Linked DNA regions of Saccharomyces cerevisiae S288C. The protein of the gene in region 1 purifies or fractionates together with the protein of each later gene. This does not show direct contact. Each region holds a gene or a part of one and is shown on either strand. Other genes may lie near its edges.

The links.
Region 2: the proteins of RRP46 (region 1) and LRP1 purify together in Saccharomyces cerevisiae (affinity purification with mass spectrometry; 6 studies listed by BioGRID, with this or other methods). This does not show direct contact.
Region 3: the proteins of RRP46 (region 1) and UTP10 purify together in Saccharomyces cerevisiae (affinity purification with mass spectrometry; 2 studies listed by BioGRID). This does not show direct contact.

Annotation. Positions count from the first base shown.
Region 1 is NC_001139.9:675,117-678,311, forward strand, and holds RRP46 (exosome non-catalytic core subunit RRP46), read right to left. Parts: upstream 1,227-3,195; coding exon 555-1,226; downstream 1-554. Other genes in the region: VAS1 (valine--tRNA ligase), read left to right, coding at 1-384; thiamine transporter TPC1, read left to right, coding at 1,505-2,449. UniProt on the Saccharomyces cerevisiae protein: Non-catalytic component of the RNA exosome complex which has 3'->5' exoribonuclease activity and participates in a multitude of cellular RNA processing and degradation events.
Region 2 is NC_001140.6:265,802-268,697, forward strand, and holds LRP1 (Lrp1p), read left to right. Parts: upstream 1-1,736; coding exon 1,737-2,291; downstream 2,292-2,896. Other genes in the region: LAM4 (Lam4p), read right to left, coding at 1-1,037; putative serine/threonine protein kinase KSP1, read right to left, coding at 2,658-2,896. UniProt on the Saccharomyces cerevisiae protein: Required for exosome-dependent processing of pre-rRNA and small nucleolar RNA (snRNA) precursors. Involved in processing of 35S pre-rRNA at the A0, A1 and A2 sites. Required for activity of RRP6 in 7S pre-rRNA processing.
Region 3 is NC_001142.9:211,379-218,959, reverse strand, and holds UTP10 (snoRNA-binding rRNA-processing protein UTP10), read left to right. Parts: upstream 1-1,650; coding exon 1,651-6,960; downstream 6,961-7,581. Other genes in the region: YJL107C (uncharacterized protein), read left to right, coding at 1-107; pheromone-regulated protein PRM10, read left to right, coding at 104-1,255; GZF3 (Gzf3p), read left to right, coding at 7,383-7,581. UniProt on the Saccharomyces cerevisiae protein: Involved in nucleolar processing of pre-18S ribosomal RNA. Required for optimal pre-ribosomal RNA transcription by RNA polymerase I together with a subset of U3 proteins required for transcription (t-UTPs). Involved in ribosome biosynthesis.

The DNA.
Region 1 (3,195 bases):
CACGAGGAATACTTCAAAACTGCTGAAGATCAGAAAGATTCTATTGTCTCGTTGATCAAGGCCATCGACGAAGTCACTGTTGTTCGTGATGCTTCCGAAATTCCAGAAGGTTGCGTATTGCAATCTGTTAACCCAGAAGTCAATGTACATCTTCTCGTCAAGGGACACGTTGATATTGATGCTGAAATTGCGAAAGTTCAAAAGAAACTTGAAAAGGCTAAAAAATCCAAGAACGGTATTGAACAAACCATTAACAGTAAGGATTACGAAACAAAGGCTAATACACAGGCCAAGGAAGCCAATAAAAGCAAGCTGGATAACACTGTTGCCGAAATCGAAGGTTTGGAAGCTACTATTGAAAACTTGAAGCGTTTGAAATTGTAGATTGAAGGTAGATAAAAATTAATGTAATATATATATATATATATGCTATGTATATGTAACAACGAAAATGTTAAGAATTTTAGAACATTGAATAATAACTATTTCCAAATATAAGAGGTAGTCTCCGGCATACGACATAGCATGTTGTGGTATATTATAATCTATAATGGCTATACAACTAGACGAGGTGATATATTGTCCTGTATTATTCTTCTTATATTTGTGACAAGTTCTTGACACTTTTGCTCACCCAGCTCCAGTAAACTGAACAATTGATCTTCATTAAAATCACCATTGCTGTCTAACAATAAAACGTTTTTCACGACTTTACCGCCATTGACGAACTCCAGAGCTAAAGTGTGGACAGAGAGCGAAATCTTCAATTGCTCGGCAGTGGGATCGACAATGATATCACTAGTGTCTTTGATTATTGCAATAGGGATGCTTGCGCACATACTATTTAAGGCAATTCCTGCATCAACTAAAGCCAAAAATGCCGCATTTATACAACAACTTAGCTCTCTCAGGGAGAATTCGGCTTCATCTTCACCAGATTCCAGAATTTGACAAGTTATCTGGCAGAGCTGTCTTGGGTAACAATGACGAGTGATGAGTGGGGTCAGAACTGCCCGTAATTTATCTTCGAGTACCTTCTCTCTTGTTGTGGCCACCCCTTTCGCGGGACGTACAATAATTTCTAATGCTAATTGTGTAGGCAGTTCTTGTCTTGCTTTTGGTTCAATAGGGCCTGTTACAGAACAAATAACCTTGGTGTCTTGTGATACGAATTCAGATGAACCATCTACATGATCTAATATCCCTATTTCTGCTTGGACGCTCATTTTTTTTTTTTTTTCAGCAGAATCTAATCTATTCTTGGTATTGGGCTCCTTGTTATTACCATATATGCAGAGATATTTTATGCATCTTAACTGGTTCATCTAACAAATTTTCCACTCTTTTTTCCACAATCCGATGCGCTTAAAAGGAAAAAAAAAGTAGTAAAAAGAAAAAGAGAGGTACATAATAGTCTTTATGAAGAAAAGGCGCTATTTTGTCACCTTTAACTTGGCATAGTCTGGAGCTTTATATAAACCATTCAAAGTACATAAATGTTGATATGTTCAAAGAGGAGGACTCGTTAAGAAAAGGGCAAAATGTGGCCGCGTGGAAAACTTTGTTGGCTGGCGCCGTATCCGGGCTGCTTGCCCGTAGCATAACTGCTCCCATGGATACCATTAAGATCAGATTGCAATTGACCCCTGCAAATGGGCTGAAGCCCTTCGGAAGTCAGGTCATGGAGGTGGCCAGAAGCATGATAAAGAACGAAGGCATCCGGTCCTTTTGGAAGGGTAACATACCCGGTTCTTTGCTGTACGTTACCTATGGCTCAGCGCAGTTTAGTTCATACTCCCTTTTTAATAGATATTTAACTCCATTTGGACTAGAGGCGCGCTTACATAGTCTTGTTGTCGGAGCCTTTGCTGGCATAACCAGTTCCATCGTTTCCTACCCGTTCGATGTTTTACGGACCCGACTAGTTGCCAACAACCAGATGCACTCAATGAGCATCACGAGAGAAGTGCGTGATATCTGGAAACTAGAAGGTCTCCCCGGATTTTTCAAGGGCTCCATCGCGTCAATGACAACCATAACTCTAACCGCATCTATAATGTTCGGAACATACGAAACAATCAGGATATACTGTGACGAAAACGAAAAAACGACCGCCGCGCATAAAAAATGGGAACTGGCTACTTTAAATCACAGCGCTGGTACCATTGGCGGCGTCATTGCTAAGATCATTACTTTCCCCCTCGAAACGATCCGTAGGCGAATGCAGTTCATGAATTCGAAGCATCTGGAAAAGTTCTCCCGTCATTCGTCTGTATACGGTTCTTATAAAGGGTACGGATTCGCAAGAATCGGTTTACAGATTTTGAAACAAGAAGGTGTGAGTTCGCTTTACAGAGGTATTCTGGTGGCCCTTTCCAAGACAATACCCACCACTTTTGTGAGTTTCTGGGGGTATGAAACTGCCATCCATTATTTGCGGATGTACTAAAGTTTCCAATCTTTTTTGTCACATGTACACACTCATATACATATACGAAATCATCATATCTTATATTCTTCACTGACAAAGATCGGTAGCCGCCCGGTTTTCCATTCCGATTACGGCCTGACTCAGTCGCGCCGTCTTCCTCTAATAACAAAAAATCGAAAAAAAAAGAGGAATCTCGTTGCTAGCGATCTGACGCCAACCCTTTTTCCGGTTTTTCTTAGTTGCCTGCTGCCCCGCACCGGTTTTTCTTCTTTTTTTTATCTTTTTTTCCGCTCAGTCAGCGGGGAAGGGAGAGAAGGAAACAATGAATCGGATCTTCCGATGGAACCAGCGTCAGGGACCACTACATCTGCTTGTTGTTTCAACACAACTTACATCTGCGCAAGCACACGGACTAGGAGTAACAAGAAGTAGTAAAATTGAAGAAAGCAAGGACTGCTGCAATCTCTGCACCCTTGTGGTAGCCACCCTTCTTAGATGTGGCATACTTACACTTTTTTTTTTCTTTTTTTTTTTTTTTTTTCGCCTTTTCTCATTTCTTGGCTCCTTAATAGCCAAGAAATGAGAAACGTGGGAGATGTTCAACCTCGCCTGATCCTACCAAAAAAAAAAATCGCAAAAATAAGCGGGAAAAAATGTCAGATTCTAAGTTTCAAACCTCCGGAGATGATTCATCATCACCATCACCGCCGATTTGTTGGATTGCGTGTTTACGATCCATCATTTTTCTTGTAAGCGTTTAGCTT
Region 2 (2,896 bases), on another chromosome or scaffold:
TCAAGAGTAGCTTGAGAATCATCGAAGTGCTCTAATTTTAAGTTTCCAACTCCGGGGGTAGGCTTATCATGAGAGTGCCTGATGGGTTCGAAAACCACTTTCCTGGCCATATCATCCGTCATCTTTCTAGTGTCATCTAATGATGTATCATCTCCTGAGATAGCATTAGAGCTTGAATGTGAGTTCGAGTGAATATGGCCTTTCAAATTTCCAAATGCCAATCTAGATAATGATGATGGTTTACTTTTACTTCCTGCTTCCGTTGTATTAAGCTGTTGGTTACTTGGAGTTGATGATTTGGATGCTGCAAGAATATTGTCTAAATTTTTCAAAAATGGGCCATCGCTTTCTTTTGTCGATGAAGTGTTTTTATTGTTAGTGCTATTTTCGGAAAGGGCTCCTGATATATTAGATGAGTTTTTTTTCCTGTCCTTTGGTTCATTCCTGGAAATTGTTCCATTGTCAGCGTCTTGTACGTTTATTTTGGGAATGTGGCTTACGGCATTATGGGCGAAGGAAAGAAACGTTTCAAAGGCGGTATGTTCATCATGGCCGTCTGGAGTTTTTTCCTCAGCTTGATTGCTGGACCCTTCTCGTTTCCCACTTTGCAGTTTTTCCTTTTCTAATGCCTGGACGGATAAACTTGGTACAGAATTTGAATTCGAGTTACCATCCTGAAAGCGACCCTTCAATGAACCTGCCGTCAAATTCGTGTTTGTCTTTTCAAGCCTGTTTGTTTCCATGGGATCTATAACGATTGGAATATTGAATACACCTTGGCTATGCGCTAAGGAAGATGCCGCCGCCTTTTGAGATCCTTTTGCAGGAGATTCCGTGAAAGTTTCGGGCTTAAGTAAAGACGGAATATCCGGATTTCCTCCTACTCTTCTGAATCGCTCAGCACTGGCTGTTGTGCTAACATTCTCTCCTGTAGTATTATTTAAAAAATTACGATCCTTCTTGTGCTTACGTTTGACTCCAATTGTCCTTAAAAAGGCAGTGCCCCAATGGTGCTTCTTTTTTGAATCTCTAGTCATTACTGTATATTTTCAACACTATCCATGGAGAGTAAGAACCACACACAGTAGCAATAATTTAATATCAATGGCAATAGCAACGAAATTACAGTAGATACCGTGAGCCAGCAGAAACAGATTGATATTTCGTATTTCAAGAAGGCAGAATCATTCAACCACCTACCGTCCCCCAGGAGGACAGATCCCAACGAGGGACCTTTGCGCCCAATTCTACTCCTGCAAGGGTTTCACTTAGAAATGCTTTTGCCAAGGTAAAGGACCCCTAAGACTAGAATGAACTACGCCGGTCCGTCCGGCCGTCATACTCCGTGGAAATTTACTTCTAAAAGGAGAAACAGCGATCTTTGCCGCATAAAGCCAGCCACTACTGGCGTGGAAAGATTTTTAGATTAGAAGACAATACAAAGCGGCAACGTCATAACCTTGGTATTTATTGGGCAAGCATTTTCATATCAGCGTACATACACCAGCAATGGGAATGTAAAGAAGAGTCGTTACTAGCATATTTTCTATTCATGCGGGTACCCAACATGTCACGTTTCACGAATTCTCGTGCAGTTTTTCAGCGATGAGCTAAGGCAGATGGTTATGGACTGTGCCTTCTGTAGTCTGTGGAAGAAAAAACTGGTTAACAGCCTACAGTAGAAATCGATTAATATAAACATATATCTAGCAACGTAACGGAGTATTAGATCAGTAATGGAAGATATCGAAAAGATAAAACCATACGTTAGGAGTTTTTCAAAGGCGTTAGACGAGCTGAAACCAGAAATAGAGAAACTAACGTCGAAGTCACTGGATGAACAGCTGTTGCTATTATCTGATGAGAGGGCTAAATTAGAACTAATTAATCGTTACGCGTATGTATTGAGTTCTCTGATGTTTGCTAATATGAAAGTCCTAGGCGTCAAAGATATGTCTCCTATACTCGGCGAACTGAAAAGAGTAAAATCATACATGGATAAGGCTAAACAATACGATAATAGGATAACCAAATCCAACGAAAAATCGCAGGCAGAGCAAGAAAAAGCTAAGAATATCATTTCCAATGTTTTGGACGGTAATAAAAACCAATTCGAGCCCTCTATAAGCAGGAGCAACTTTCAAGGGAAGCATACGAAATTTGAAAACGATGAACTGGCAGAGAGTACAACGACTAAGATTATTGACAGTACCGATCATATAAGGAAAGCAAGTAGTAAGAAAAGTAAAAGATTGGATAAAGTTGGAAAAAAGAAAGGAGGGAAGAAGTAGAGGTCGACGTATACTGGTACATGAGTGAAAAAATGATTAAAGGTGATGTGAGAGCACAAATGCAAAAATGCTTATAGGGTTTATATACTTTTATAATAACAATAAGAACTCGTTGAAGTAACTAATATGTGTATATGCTATTCTTGTAGTTGGCAGTGAACACTTTTGTGTGAATTGACGTTATATAAGACTGTAGAAATATCTAAGAAAAGAGAGTTTTCATAAAACCCTTCAAGCTTAACTACCAAAAAGCATTCATACTTAGAAGTTGAAATGCACGATGATGCCAAATTGATGAAAAAAGCTAAAAATGCATTTCAGAAGGGAAGAAAATAATAAGCAACATAACAGAGGGAATAGGTGCGCTTAGTCTTGTTGCTGTAAAATTAACCAATTATTCTTGTATTGTTCTAACGATCCGACCATTTCATCCTGAATACTTGTCTTCCTGCCAGCTCCTAATTTTTTATCGTGAGTGGAGCCAGCGAAAGTTTGAGCATAAATTTCATAAGGACCGAAAATTTGCCTTTCATCCGGGGAGGTTGACGAGGATTCGTTGTCACCACCTTCCATTTTGCCATGTGCCATCTTGTCACTTTCTCCTT
Region 3 (7,581 bases), on another chromosome or scaffold:
CTCTTATGATGTATGGTGCTCCGACGCATAGGCTTGAAGAATATATGGTTATGACTTCTAGAGTCCTTGAAATAGATGGTCAGTTTTGTATCTTCCAGGTTGTATGATTGTTTCATTTGGTGATGCAACAACAAGAACTTCCGAAGTTCAATTGGTTAGGTGTACTCAAGGTCTAAACCTTTGGAAGCTGCATCAAGTTCATGCCGTTTACAAAAGAGTTGTCCATGATACCTTAGGTGCCGATGAAGGTAATGCTTTACTCGATCAAATTTTGGCTGACACGAATCTATATCCACCTTGGATGTGTGTTCTTTTATATGCATTTTGTTCCGCTATGGTCACTCCGTATGCCTTTGGTGGCGATTGGGTAAACCTGGCAATCTCATTTTTTATGGGGCTTTGTGTGGGGTCATTACAATTTATTCTTTCACAAAAGTCATACATGTATTCAAACGTCTTCGAAATTTCTGCATCTATTGTCGTTAGCTTCTGCGGTAGAGCTTTTGGCTCTATCCCTCGTTCTCACATCTGCTTTGGTGCAGTTACACAAGGCTCATTGGCATTAATCCTGCCAGGTTATATTATTCTGTGTGGTGCACTAGAACTGCAAAGTCGAAGCCTAGTTGCTGGCGCGGTCCGTATGTTCTACGCCATTATTTATTCTTTGTTTTTGGGTTTTGGCATAACATTGGGCTCAGCTTTGTTTGGATGGATGTATCACAATGCCACTAACGAAATTTCATGTCCTCAATTAATTTCTCCGTGGTTCAGGTTCCTCTTCGTTCCAGCGTTTACCATTAGTATCTCGTTATTAAATCAAGCACACATCTCACAACTGCCAGTTATGGTCTTCATTTCTTGCACCGGTTATGTCGTAACATATTGGGCCGGTAAGCATTTTGCGAATTCGACAGAGTTTACTGCCGCCTTAGCTGCATTTGTCATAGGTGTTTTAGGTAATCTATATTCCAGAATTTGGAAAGGTTTAGCGGTATCAGCTATGCTTCCCGCAATCTTCGTTCAAGTGCCATCTGGTATTGCTTCACAAAATTCGTTGTTGTCTGGGTTGCAAAGTGCAAATACAATTGTTAATGCTAATGAAACCATTACGACAAGCACCTCCGATCCATCGTCCTCAATGTCATTTGGTATGACAATGATTCAAGTTTGTGTCGGTATTTCTGTGGGACTATTTGCTTCTTCACTCTTTGTCTACCCCTTTGGTAAAAAGAAAACTGGTCTTTTCAGTTTATAAGCTCTCACAAGGTCCACTTCGTTAGAAACTTGTTAACCAATGGACCAAGTGTTGCCATTGGGTCATTCTTCAGTATCAAAGAAGACTTTGACCCACTAAGAAAAATTTCAAAAGTAAATTATAAATATAGCATTAAGTACAAATAACATATCAGCTTATGAATCCTTTTTTTCAATTTTATGGTTTCATAGCCAATAATCATAACATACATAGATTAATAATATTCAAGTCACATGACTTTTTTTTTTTTCTTTTTTCTTTCTGCGTTAAGCAAAGAAAAAAATTTTCAGTTAGCGATGAGCTAGATATTTTCGAAGGTGTAACAAATACTTTCTTTATTACCTTTCAGAATCAGACTTATCTAACTGGCCACCAAAGTACGAATAACTTTGAAAATGTCTTCGTTGAGTGACCAATTAGCTCAAGTTGCTTCCAACAATGCTACTGTTGCGTTGGATAGAAAGAGAAGACAAAAACTTCATTCTGCTTCTTTGATTTATAACTCAAAGACGGCTGCAACACAAGATTACGATTTCATTTTTGAAAACGCTAGTAAGGCTCTTGAAGAATTGAGCCAAATTGAGCCAAAATTTGCCATTTTCTCAAGAACACTCTTTTCAGAGTCTTCCATTTCTCTTGATAGAAATGTCCAAACAAAAGAAGAAATTAAAGATTTGGATAATGCTATCAATGCTTACTTGCTATTGGCTTCTTCTAAATGGTATTTAGCACCTACACTACATGCAACAGAATGGTTGGTTCGTCGTTTTCAAATACATGTTAAAAACACAGAGATGCTGCTTTTGTCCACTCTCAACTACTACCAAACACCTGTCTTTAAGAGAATTCTCAGCATTATTAAGTTGCCCCCTTTGTTTAATTGTTTGTCGAATTTTGTTAGAAGTGAAAAGCCCCCAACGGCGCTAACCATGATAAAGCTCTTTAATGACATGGATTTTCTGAAACTTTATACCAGTTATTTGGATCAATGTATTAAGCATAATGCAACGTATACTAACCAGCTTTTATTTACAACATGCTGCTTTATTAACGTTGTTGCTTTCAATTCAAACAACGATGAAAAACTGAATCAGCTTGTTCCAATCTTACTTGAAATATCTGCTAAACTTTTAGCCTCTAAATCAAAGGATTGTCAAATAGCTGCACATACCATATTAGTTGTATTTGCTACAGCTTTGCCTTTAAAGAAAACAATTATCTTAGCTGCCATGGAAACCATTCTTTCAAACTTAGATGCTAAAGAGGCAAAACATTCAGCACTCCTCACGATTTGTAAGCTGTTCCAAACATTAAAAGGACAAGGTAACGTAGATCAGCTACCTTCCAAAATTTTCAAGTTATTTGATAGCAAGTTCGACACTGTGTCTATACTAACCTTCTTAGATAAGGAAGACAAACCAGTTTGTGATAAATTCATTACTTCCTATACAAGATCCATAGCAAGGTATGATCGGTCCAAATTGAACATTATTCTTAGCCTACTAAAAAAAATAAGACTAGAAAGATACGAAGTTAGGTTGATAATCACTGATTTGATTTACCTTTCCGAAATTTTAGAGGACAAGTCACAATTAGTAGAACTATTCGAATATTTTATCTCCATAAATGAAGATTTGGTGTTAAAATGTTTGAAATCATTGGGACTGACAGGCGAACTCTTCGAAATCAGGCTTACTACATCTTTGTTCACTAATGCCGATGTTAACACCGACATTGTAAAGCAGTTAAGCGACCCCGTGGAAACTACTAAAAAGGATACCGCTTCATTTCAAACATTCTTGGATAAGCATTCAGAATTGATAAACACAACGAATGTGTCCATGCTAACAGAAACTGGAGAAAGATACAAAAAGGTTTTATCTTTATTCACTGAAGCTATTGGTAAAGGCTATAAAGCAAGTTCCTTCTTGACTTCATTTTTCACTACTTTAGAATCAAGAATAACGTTTTTGTTAAGAGTAACTATATCTCCAGCCGCTCCAACCGCGCTAAAGCTAATATCTTTAAACAATATTGCAAAATATATTAATAGTATTGAAAAGGAAGTTAATATTTTTACTTTAGTTCCATGCTTGATTTGCGCTTTGCGAGATGCTTCTATAAAAGTTAGGACTGGCGTGAAGAAGATTCTTTCCTTGATTGCTAAAAGACCATCCACTAAGCACTACTTTTTGTCTGATAAACTTTACGGAGAGAACGTTACCATTCCTATGTTAAATCCCAAAGATAGTGAGGCATGGTTATCAGGATTTTTGAATGAGTACGTTACTGAGAATTATGACATATCCAGAATTTTAACGCCAAAGAGAAATGAAAAAGTCTTTTTGATGTTTTGGGCTAATCAAGCCCTACTAATACCTTCTCCGTATGCCAAGACAGTGTTGTTGGATAACCTGAACAAGAGTCCGACTTATGCATCTTCTTATTCCTCCCTATTTGAGGAATTTATTTCCCACTACTTAGAAAACAGATCTAGTTGGGAAAAGAGTTGTATTGCTAATAAAACAAACTTTGAGCATTTTGAGCGCTCTTTAGTTAATTTGGTATCACCAAAAGAAAAGCAGTCATTCATGATCGATTTTGTTCTCAGTGCTCTTAACTCAGATTATGAGCAGTTAGCTAACATAGCTGCCGAGAGGCTTATCAGCATATTCGCTTCATTAAATAATGCTCAAAAACTAAAAATCGTCCAAAATATCGTGGATTCTTCGAGTAACGTAGAATCATCGTACGATACAGTCGGTGTACTACAATCATTGCCGTTAGATTCCGATATTTTTGTATCCATACTAAATCAAAACAGTATCAGTAACGAAATGGATCAGACAGACTTTTCTAAAAGAAGAAGAAGACGTTCATCAACAAGTAAAAACGCATTTTTGAAAGAGGAGGTTTCGCAACTGGCGGAATTGCACCTGAGAAAGTTGACGATTATTTTGGAAGCACTTGATAAAGTCAGAAATGTTGGATCCGAAAAGCTTTTGTTCACTTTACTTTCCTTATTATCAGATCTGGAAACTTTGGATCAAGACGGTGGATTACCGGTTTTATATGCGCAAGAAACTTTGATTTCTTGTACGCTGAACACTATCACATACTTGAAGGAACATGGCTGTACAGAACTAACCAACGTAAGGGCAGATATATTGGTATCCGCTATTAGAAATTCTGCATCTCCGCAAGTCCAAAACAAACTATTACTTGTAATTGGATCTCTTGCTACTTTAAGTTCGGAAGTTATTTTGCATTCTGTAATGCCTATCTTTACTTTTATGGGAGCCCATAGTATTCGTCAAGATGATGAATTCACAACTAAAGTTGTTGAGCGTACGATACTAACTGTTGTCCCTGCCTTGATCAAGAATAGCAAAGGAAATGAAAAAGAGGAAATGGAGTTCCTTTTGTTGAGCTTCACAACCGCTTTGCAACATGTTCCAAGACATAGGAGGGTTAAATTATTTTCTACGTTAATCAAAACACTTGATCCAGTAAAGGCACTGGGCTCGTTCCTTTTCTTGATTGCACAACAGTATTCTTCAGCTTTAGTCAACTTTAAAATTGGCGAGGCAAGAATATTAATTGAGTTTATTAAGGCCCTACTCGTTGATCTACATGTCAATGAGGAATTATCAGGTTTGAATGACTTACTCGATATCATCAAATTGTTGACATCATCAAAGAGCTCCTCGGAAAAGAAGAAATCACTAGAATCCCGTGTCTTGTTTTCAAATGGTGTCTTGAATTTTTCGGAAAGTGAATTTTTGACATTTATGAACAATACCTTTGAGTTTATCAATAAAATAACCGAGGAAACAGATCAAGATTATTACGATGTGAGGAGAAATTTAAGACTAAAGGTATATTCTGTTTTGTTAGATGAAACAAGCGATAAAAAGTTAATTAGAAACATCAGGGAAGAATTTGGAACCCTTTTAGAAGGTGTTCTTTTTTTCATTAATTCTGTAGAATTAACCTTTTCATGTATAACTTCCCAAGAAAATGAGGAAGCTTCCGACTCTGAAACATCATTATCAGATCACACGACTGAAATAAAGGAGATTCTATTCAAGGTGCTTGGCAATGTGTTACAAATTCTACCAGTTGACGAGTTTGTTAATGCGGTATTACCCTTACTCAGTACATCCACTAATGAAGATATTAGATACCACCTAACGTTGGTAATAGGGTCCAAATTCGAGTTAGAAGGCTCTGAAGCTATTCCTATAGTTAACAATGTGATGAAGGTTTTGCTCGACAGAATGCCTTTGGAATCTAAATCTGTTGTTATTTCTCAAGTAATATTGAACACGATGACGGCTTTAGTGAGCAAATATGGTAAGAAGCTTGAGGGGTCCATATTAACTCAAGCCCTCACCCTTGCTACTGAAAAAGTTAGTTCTGATATGACAGAGGTCAAGATATCTTCGTTGGCATTGATAACTAACTGTGTTCAAGTTTTAGGAGTCAAGTCAATTGCGTTCTATCCAAAAATAGTCCCACCTTCTATTAAATTATTTGATGCTTCATTGGCAGATAGTAGTAACCCATTAAAAGAGCAGTTGCAAGTTGCTATACTGTTGCTGTTCGCCGGTCTAATCAAAAGGATACCAAGTTTCTTGATGTCAAATATTTTGGATGTTTTGCATGTTATTTATTTTTCCCGTGAAGTTGACAGCAGCATTAGGCTGTCAGTAATTTCATTGATAATTGAGAATATAGATTTGAAGGAAGTTTTGAAAGTTTTATTCAGAATTTGGTCCACTGAAATAGCAACGTCCAATGATACAGTTGCTGTTAGTCTATTTTTGAGTACATTAGAATCCACTGTTGAAAATATTGATAAAAAATCCGCAACCTCACAATCGCCAATATTTTTTAAGTTACTATTATCTTTATTCGAATTTAGATCCATTTCCAGTTTCGATAATAATACAATTAGTAGGATAGAGGCATCCGTTCACGAAATTTCCAACTCTTACGTCCTGAAGATGAATGACAAAGTATTTAGACCGCTATTTGTTATATTAGTAAGATGGGCGTTTGACGGTGAAGGCGTTACAAATGCAGGTATCACTGAAACAGAAAGACTGTTGGCATTTTTCAAATTTTTCAACAAGCTTCAAGAAAATTTGAGAGGTATAATTACTTCCTATTTCACGTATTTGTTAGAACCTGTTGATATGTTGTTAAAAAGATTCATTAGCAAGGACATGGAAAACGTTAATTTAAGACGTTTGGTAATCAACTCTCTAACCTCTTCGCTAAAGTTTGATAGAGACGAATACTGGAAATCAACTTCCAGATTCGAGTTAATTTCTGTATCCTTGGTCAATCAACTATCTAATATAGAAAACTCTATTGGGAAGTACCTGGTCAAGGCAATTGGCGCTCTGGCTTCTAACAATAGTGGCGTTGATGAGCATAACCAAATTTTGAATAAACTAATCGTTGAACACATGAAAGCTTCCTGTTCCTCCAATGAAAAATTATGGGCTATTAGAGCCATGAAGTTGATATACTCAAAGATAGGTGAAAGTTGGTTAGTTCTATTGCCACAGCTCGTTCCCGTCATCGCTGAGTTATTGGAAGATGATGATGAAGAGATCGAACGTGAAGTCAGGACCGGTTTGGTCAAGGTTGTTGAAAACGTTTTAGGGGAACCTTTTGATAGGTATTTAGATTAGAAAAAAAAGGTGAAGTATTATGTAAATTTTTGTAAAGTAAAACACTATGCTGTTGAACGAAATCTTTCATTGAAAATATTGTTATTCATTCGTGATAGCTGCCCCTTTCTGAGTTTGAACTTAATATTTCAATTACGCTACTTCAAGTTTCAATGAGATATTATTCTGTCATCTTTCTCGTCGTTCCTAGTGATTAACGTTACTAAAATTACTGATCCTAAATAGCGGGCGAACAGAGTGAAAATTTTCTTATCTTCGCTTATCTGCGCTTATCAATCCTAATCAGTGAAAAATAAGATATAGGCTTGATAATAAGGTAGTTTGAAAGAGAACATATTGCAAGCGGTTGAAGCTATAATACTAGATATACGAATATCATTTCGGGTATTTGTACTGTGCTCTACAATTCTACTGGTAATATTATGGCATCGCAGGCTACAACTCTTCGAGGCTATAACATTAGAAAACGAGATAATGTATTTGAACCAAAATCAAGTGAAAACCTCAACAGCTTAAATCAAAGCGAAGAAGAAGGGCATATTGGGAGATGGCCACCTTTAGGTTATGAAGCAGTATCTGCCGAGCAAAAATCGGCAGTTCAATTGCGTGAATCGCAAGCAG